Linked DNA regions of Mus musculus. The protein of the gene in region 1 interacts with the protein of each later gene in a pairwise test. Links are inferred from orthologs where the notes say so. Each region holds a gene or a part of one and is shown in the gene's direction. Other genes may lie near its edges. The genes, in order: Tfap2a and Gsto2.

What was found.
Region 2: the proteins of Tfap2a (region 1) and Gsto2 interact in binary tests that used the Homo sapiens proteins (3 or more experiments, as listed by UniProt). The two-hybrid records come from large-scale screens. The link is inferred for Mus musculus from reciprocal best matches to the Homo sapiens genes TFAP2A and GSTO2.

The regions. Positions count from the first base shown.
Region 1 is NC_000079.6:40,720,092-40,723,904, reverse strand, and holds part of Tfap2a (transcription factor AP-2-alpha), read left to right. Parts: intron 1-582; coding exon 583-814; intron 815-2,517; coding exon 2,518-2,636; intron 2,637-3,813.
Region 2 is NC_000085.6:47,864,277-47,868,754, forward strand, and holds the start of Gsto2 (glutathione S-transferase omega-2), read left to right. Parts: upstream 1-1,517; 5' UTR 1,518-1,653; intron 1,654-4,478. Other genes in the region: Gsto1 (glutathione S-transferase omega-1), read left to right, coding at 21-174. UniProt on the Homo sapiens protein: Exhibits glutathione-dependent thiol transferase activity. Has high dehydroascorbate reductase activity and may contribute to the recycling of ascorbic acid. Participates in the biotransformation of inorganic arsenic and reduces monomethylarsonic acid (MMA).

The DNA.
Region 1 (3,813 bases):
CTTATGGTTTTAACTGATTATATATCCTAACCCCCATCCCTTTGAAGGGGCTTAGACAGACAGGGTTCATTTAGTATTTGCTCAACAAAAGGATGCATTCCTAATGTTCAACTGTAGGCCTATTCTTGAGTCCTGTTCACGGGCTTGGAATGATCTCCAAAGCCCGAGTGTCTTTTAAATGGAACATAAGGGTCTATTGATGAAAGGACGGACGTGTAGTGTGTGATAACAGAATCCACCACTTGCTAGCTTACTGAAATGTTCATTTACTGGCTGCTGCAGCAATCGAAACTGTCTGCTGGTTTTAACAGCAATTTCTTTTGGCACTGAGCCTTTCGCCAGCAAAACCCCCACTACACCAACCCTGTCTCGGGTTTACACATAAAACCCATTCGTTGCCTCCCTAAACCCAAGCTCCTGCATCACTTCGGAGCCCTTTGAGAGCCTAGGGGGTCGCGACAGCATCAGCCATCTCTAGACAGCTTGCTGCAAGGGTCAGGGCAGGATGCCGCCTCGGGATTCCTGAGCTGAGCAGCGCTCGGTCGGTCCGCCCCCCACACGCGCCCGCATCTGTCTTCGCAGGCCCCGTGTCCCTGTCCAAGTCCAACAGCAATGCTGTCTCCGCCATCCCTATTAACAAGGACAACCTCTTCGGTGGCGTGGTAAACCCCAACGAAGTCTTCTGTTCAGTTCCGGGTCGCCTGTCGCTCCTCAGCTCCACCTCGAAGTACAAGGTCACGGTGGCGGAAGTACAGCGGCGCCTCTCACCGCCCGAGTGTCTTAACGCGTCGCTCCTGGGCGGAGTACTGCGGAGGTGAGGCTCGGACCGGCCCCGCCCCGCCCCACCCGGCCCCGCCCCGCCCCGCTCCACCCCGGGAACCCGGCCCCAGTGCGCCTGCGCTGGGCCGGTAGCTGTACTGCACGCGCGACGTGAAAGGGGCGGAGAGAAAAGAGTGGCGCTTTGTGGGCGTGGCTGAAGGCGGGGGTGGGGTGTGAGGCAACGCGCCTGCGCACTCGGGAACTCCGCTTTCTGCAGCACGCAGGCGCAGTTTTCTACGTCTGGGGCTCAGTCCCAGCCTTGGCAGCCGTGGGGCGCCGTGCTGCTGCCTTTTCCCTGGTTGCGCACAGGTTACAAGCTCAGAAAAGCTTCCGGGCTCCTTGCTTTGCCTTACTACACTGTAGGGTCTTGAGTGGAGATTTAACAGACAGGTTTTCAAGTAAAGAAAGAGAGTGACTTCTGCTTGCTGCGTGCCTCCCATCCCTGGTTGCTGGCACTTCCTGCCATAAGGAACCTCTACCTCCACTCCAGTCTCTGTACGGGGGGGGGGGGGGGGGGGGTGTTCTTTTGACGTTCTGATTTGCTGTGATGTGTGACAGGTTTCTGTTCATTATATGTAGTCGCATCCATTAACACAGGAGTCTCACCTCTCTGAAGTGAGTGAGTCCTGTTTTTCACAAGGGCCAGGGAGGTAGAGTCTAAAGAGAGAAAAGTTTCAGAGCCAGGTGTGTTCTTAGGGATCTATCCAATGGTGTGAGTTGTAGGCCTAGTATTAAATTTGGCCAAAGAGTATGTCTCTTACTCTCCTCTCTACAAAAGACCTGTAATTCGTTGTCTAACTTTATTCCTGTATATTAATAACTCTCAGTTGGGCCTTGGTGGGTATGGCCCACCTACATACTCTAAGAGGGTTTTTGCAGAGTTAATACCAGCGGCTTTCCTTAGTTATCTTTTACTGTCACAGATCTTTCTCTGCCCTCTGCTTTTTCCTCCCCTCCCCCCATCCCCAATATCGGAGACTGCTCACCTATGGGAGTATAATCTAATCCACACAATTAAAGACCCACTTGAGTAGGGAATAAAATCTGAAATTAATTAATTTGCTGTTTTATTTAAACAATTTATCTTAACCACTTTCTGATTATGGGAGTCTATTTAGACATCTATTTAGAAGTGACTCCATTGTTTCTGAAATCAGGGAAAAATTTTGAAGGCTGATATCAGCCATCAGCCTCTTGACATTTCCAGTTATGCTCCTGACATGGCATGTAAACACTTGGCAAGGTGCATTTCCCATTGGGATCAAAGCCAGGACATGAAATGAGAGCGCGATGATAACTTTGGTCACTGGGAACAACCTAACAGCAGATCTTGTGAAGACAATTTAAAGACCCCACTGGGCTTTGCTGGGATTATAGCAACAGGGAAAGCAACACAGTTATCAGTGGAACTCAGGAATACCTCCAACTCTTGCAATCAGAACTGTGTGTGTGTGTGTGTGTGTGTGTGTGTGTGAAAATGGAAAGTTCCCAACCTGCCACAATAGTTGCAATGACAACTATGCCTTTCATCTTCCATGATCTTTCTATATAGTTCCTTCTTGCTCTCTCTTTTCCTGCCTTGGAACCATGACCCTCAGTTTTTAAGAACACATTTTAGAAAGTGTTCAGAATGACTCTGATGTGACAAGAGAAAAATCAATCTTTTTAACACCCCTGCCTCCCATGTTTCTGAAACAGAGCGAAGTCTAAGAATGGAGGGAGATCTTTAAGAGAAAAACTGGACAAGATAGGATTGAATCTGCCAGCAGGGAGACGTAAAGCTGCCAACGTTACCCTCCTCACGTCACTAGTGGAAGGTAAACAGATCTGCTTGCTATCTGGAAGGGAACTGTCAACTTGGGGGTGGGGTGGGGTGGATAATATTTAGTAGCCAGATGTTTGAGTGTGTTTTGTGTCCTTTGGGTGGCTTCACTTTTCCATGGAATGTAACTGGGAATTGAAAAGAATTTGGGATGCCAAGGAAAAAAACAAGAAACAAAACAAAATAAAACAAAAGATCCAAAGCCTATTTGTATAGACTCGTGCCTATATGTTCTTCTTCCTCTGTCTGGCAGAGTCACCCTACCCTCAGCTCAAACCTGACCTAAACAGTGAACAAATTTAAGAACTACACATTCCCCAAGTTCCTGTCTCCTGGAAAGAACTCAGCAGTAAATCACTTAAGTTATTCTGACATCTGCATTTGAGAAATGCGTGACCATTACTTCCTGAATGAATTTGGGAATCTCTGACCTGCATCCTGCTTTAAGACTGTCCCAAAAGCTCAGGGTTAAAAGCCCTTGTGGGTTGTTGGTTTCCAGCCATATACTTCCTACCTCTTGTTTCCATTGTGTGTCTTCTCTCCAGGAGGGGCAGAAAGTGAGCAATTCTAGAATCTGGATTGTTTGATACAGAAAGAGAAGAAGAAACAGACAAATTGTAAAAGAGTTTTTTACTCCGGCTCCCCCCCCCCCCCGCCTCCCCTTTAGTACACACACACCCACCCTTCAAAGTCCTTAAGACAAAAAGCCACCCTGGCCAGCTACCCAAAAGCTGTCACCAGAATCTGCTCACTCACCATCCTGCTTCCTAGATTCCCAACTTCTTCTGATACTCAGTTCATTTAAGGTTGGGAATCAGGGAATAGCTCTCCTTTGTGTCTTGTTATATCTCACATTAATAGAAAAATAAGAAGATGGAGATTTATTACCAGGCAGATTTAAAGCTAGCCACTTATGTTTTAATGAGGCATAATTTATTTGCATAGTGCATCGAGGGAGATATTGCCATGGAATCTAAGAATCTGAAAGTTTCTCGAGAACATTGGAAACAATGTTTTTGAGAAGGCATTCTAGGATTTCTGGGTGTTAAATGGTGTTGAAGGTGGTGATAATGTAACTTAAAAAAAATCTATTGTTTAGGGCCAGAAATTCAAACCCAGCAACATTATGTTAAAATAATGGTAGTGTATAGAGATCCTGCTGTCCATATCAT
Region 2 (4,478 bases), on another chromosome or scaffold:
CTCATCTTGTCTTCCCACAGGTGTCTAGCCCACACCCCCAAGCTCAAGCTCTGGATGGCGGCCATGCAGCAAGACCCTGTGGCATCCTCTCACAAAATTGATGCCAAGACCTACCGCGAGTACTTAAATCTCTACCTACAGGACAGCCCCGAGGCCTGTGATTATGGGCTCTGAAGGGCAAGAGCCCTCAGCAAATGCTGTTTCCCCTCACTGATTGAATATCATGCTTATTTTGTCCAGTATTCTCACTGGCTCCTTTCTCATAATTTGACCTTCTGGCCTAAGCGGTGCCCCCCAGGGCCCCACTCCTGTATTTCTATTTCAGAACAATCTGATCTAATGGTCCTAACAGTCTTCACTGCCATCCCCAAGGCCATCACCTCTGGTTTGATACAGACATCTAGATTTGGATATCAAGAAAAATGTCAAGTTTTTGATTACTCATGTCTGAAAACTGTGATTTCCCCATACTTTCCATCATTAAATCTCTTATTCCTCTTGTGAGCATCGAAAACTGAGTCCAAACCACCTCAGGTCAACATGACTGGGGTAGCCTCTTGCTTGAGCTCTCAGTTCCTAATTTCTTAAAAAATGTGTGTGTGTGTGTGTGTGTGTGTGCGTGCACGGGATCCCTTGGAGCTGGTGATACCGGCAGAGGCTGTGGGGTGATAGGAAACGAATCTCCCTTCTGGAAGAGCAGCAAACAACCACCAAACGATCTCACTAGCTCCTACTTCTAGCCCTTTCAAATCCTTCCTTCCAAACAAGGCAGATATAGTTCTGTCTTCTATAGGTGTGCCACATGCAATACCGTTAAAATCACACTAGCCAGTTCAGTATATAAGACTGAATAAGTAATGGATGAAATCTCCCAATGGGAAAGGTTAATCTTAATACTTCTATCACTTCCATAAGACAGGTAGTCTGGGAACCTCACTCCATTCTAGGGATGGTGAGTCTGGTCCAGATGTTAAGTGAGGTCTTAAGATGTTGGCAGAAGGATCTGGAGGACAATGAATGCCCTTAAGAATGGCAACCCACCGACCGCCAGGTTTTCTGTAGTTGTTTTCTGGCTTGCCTGCGACAACCACGGGGGTGATTCGTTAAGGGCGCCAAAACTGGCAAAGCTCAGCGCCGCATTTAGGGTTTAGCTTCACGGTGATGGGGGGCCCGCACCCTGGGGAGGCAGGGATTGGCTGACTTCACAAACGGGACAACTAGCGTCCTACTCCGAGCGGAGCCATCTGTGCCGCCGGCCCCCAGCCCCCGGGCAGGCCCTGGCGGTTCCTCGCGGATTCCCAGTAGGATGTGAGACCAGCGGCTGAGAGGAACCGCCTGCTACCGACTTCCTCTTTAGGTAGCCATAGATTTCCGGCCTGACCCTCGTTTCTCGAGCAAGCTGCTATAACGCGGTCGCCTATTGGCTCGCTCTTCCAGACGAGCCAGGTATTGGCTGGAGCGCAGGGCTCGGCGGCCAATTGCGGGGTAGCACCGTGAGAAGGGGCGGGCCCGCCTCCGCGTCGGCCGCCGGGCGTCCCAACTCCGGGTTGGAGCCATAGCCGCCCGAAGGTTGCTCTGAGATGCTTTTTCTGCCACCGCCACTGGGGGGTTCGGCCTCACCTGCGCTGTGTCGGAAGGGAAAAGGATTTTGAGGTCAATTCTGAACTTTGGGGGACTTGTAAAATCTGGGCTTTTCAGAATAGGATCGCCAACTTTTAATTTTGCAGTTACATTTTAAAAGAAAACCCAAATGTTTAACCATAGCTAATGTTTCTTTCTTTTTCTTTTTATAAAAAATTTCACTAAAAATGTGTAAGGGAGCCTAGAATATAGCAATAGGGTAAAGAAATCGTAAGGAAGAAAGAATAGTCAATAGTTTTAGATTATTGAGTTTTCTTTAAGCCAGAAACCTGTCATTGAAATTAATTTTCCAGTTTGGACGAAGACAGGCACGCAGAGTTCCACAGATCTGGAGTTTCGTACCTCAGTTCGGCTTAACTAGTTGATGACACAGACAGGCAGGAGAATTTCGTTTCTGAGACTGCCTGTCTTTTGAAGGCTACGAAAATCGTCCCTGCTACGTTCAAATAATAGTAATCACAATAACAGCTAATGTTAAGTCCTTGCTAGATGACAGACACATGCTAAGTATTAGATGCTTGCCATACTGATCCTAATAACACTTCCCTAAACCACATGGTACTCTTACCTCCGCATTACAGATTAGAACGCCAGTGTGTTAGAAAATCAGGGTTGTTGGAGCTTTTGATTATTAGCCCAAAGTAACCCAGCTACTAAAAGGTGGAGCGATTCAAATGTAGCCTATGTTTGTTGTAAAAAAGACTGCTCTTTAGATAAGTTTATATATCTATAAAGTTCCTTTTCCTAAGAGCTCTTACATTTAGAGATTAAGCCAAGACAGAATAATATCATCTGTTATCAATGGATTCCACATCATTCCAATTTAATTAGACTAGAAAAGAAAAATTACATCCGAACTGAGTATATTCAGACTTCTCATGTCAGTATCCCCTAAGCAATGCAGTGTAACAACGTTTACCTTGTGTTGGCTATTCTAAGTCATCTAGAGGTGGTTTGATGTGTCTAGGAGTGTGTGGGTAGGTGAGTTGCAAATGCTTCGCCATTTTATATAAAGTTGTTGAGCATCCGTGGAACTTGATATCCAAAAAAGGTCCTGGCAATAATTCTGGGCACGTCCCTGTCCTATCCCTATCATGGTTTGGTTTCGGCAGGCGATGTTGCTGCTTTTGCACGCGTTTACAAACTTTGATGTCAGACTCTTGAAATTTTGCTTTTTGACTATTCAAATATTATTATCAGGGTGTATAAATGTGTCACACATGTCATTAAAGACACAGGGATAAGAAAACAAGCACTTTAAAAGAAGGTCTCCTCTGACCCAGTTTTCCTGACCTGGATGGGAAGGTCCTCCTGTGGTCACTTCAGTCACCTCATTTCATATGTCCCAACGTTAACGCCATTGGGACATGAGCTTCCCTATGGTCCTTGCTCCTTGCAAGCCCTGAATAAAGGCAGCTGTGAGAGTAGAACCCTTTCCCTCATCTGGCCCAAGGAGTTCAGTGAACAATAGTGGACACCCAGTAATGTGATCTTTCATGTCAAGTGGGCATTCAAAGAGACAAATACAATCATAATCTAGCATCTGCTAATATTAGACTTGTGACCAAAAGGTTTTTTTAAGCCGAACAAACAAACAAACAAACAAACAAACAAACAACTCAAGCTGGCATAAAAGTGCACACATTTAATTCCAGCACTTGGGAGGCAGAGGCAGAGGCAGGTGGGTCTCTAAGTTTGAGGCCAGCCTGGTCTACAGAGTAAGTTCCAGGACAGCCAGAATTACATTAAAAAAAAAAAAAAAAGACAAAGGAAGAAAGAAAGGCCCCCCTTTCCTTAAAACAAACTGAAATCGAGTGAAGAAATTATTTCCATTCTGTAAATACATACATCATTAATCACCATGACCAGAGATTCCTCTATTTTTAGAAAAGCAGCTCAGGGACTGGGGAGATGACTTAGTGGGTAAAGTGCTTGTTGAACAAACACAAGAACCTGACTTCCAACCCCAGACGCACAAACAAGACCTGGTGTGGTGGCCCGGGTTTGTAATCCCAGTGCCATGGAGGAAGCTGAGGTGGGTTTCTGGGGCTTTGGGGCCAGCTCAACCGAATCAGCAAGTTCCAGGTAAGAAGGTGAGACCCCCATCTCAAAAGACCTCTGGCCTCTGCCATCCAAGCTCACACCTTGAGTGTCTGTGTGTGTGTGTCTGTGTGTGTGTGTGTACCTTCACACACAGAGAAACAGTGGATATGATTATATTTCAGATGTCTGAAAAATTATTTCTAATAGATTTCCATGACCTTATTAAAATTGTTTTGTGCTTGAGTTGGTCAATATAACAGAGATGCAAACACGGGATAGCATAGATGGAACATTTGCAAAAAAAAAAAAACCACTTAGGAGTTACCTACTGAAATTTTAAGAGGAAGCAGAGAACAAGCTTAAAGGTCATGATTAAAATCCTTCTGGGAAAACTGTTGTGATCTTTCGAGAGATTAAAAAAAATCACATTACTGAAATGTAGCCTGAAGCATTCAGCACACTCAGCCAGCATTAAACTGTTAACGGGGGAAATAGTGTGGTGAGTTAGATTCTAATTCTCATATGCCCGGCAAGCTGAATTGCAATGTGTGTCTCTTCATGGGTGCAGAATGGGAAGGCATCATGCTATAAAAATGCCTTCTTACTCATTAGTATTTCTCTTTAATTTTGAGGGTCACTGAGATAGAACTCCGCACAATTTCACTCCATAGTCAAAACCATCATATACACACTGGTGGTTGTCATCTTAAACAAGGAAGATGGAGGGCAGAGAGGCTAAGCATTGTGCCCAAGGACCAAGGCAGGTCTCACAACCCATCTGGTTCCATGGCCCA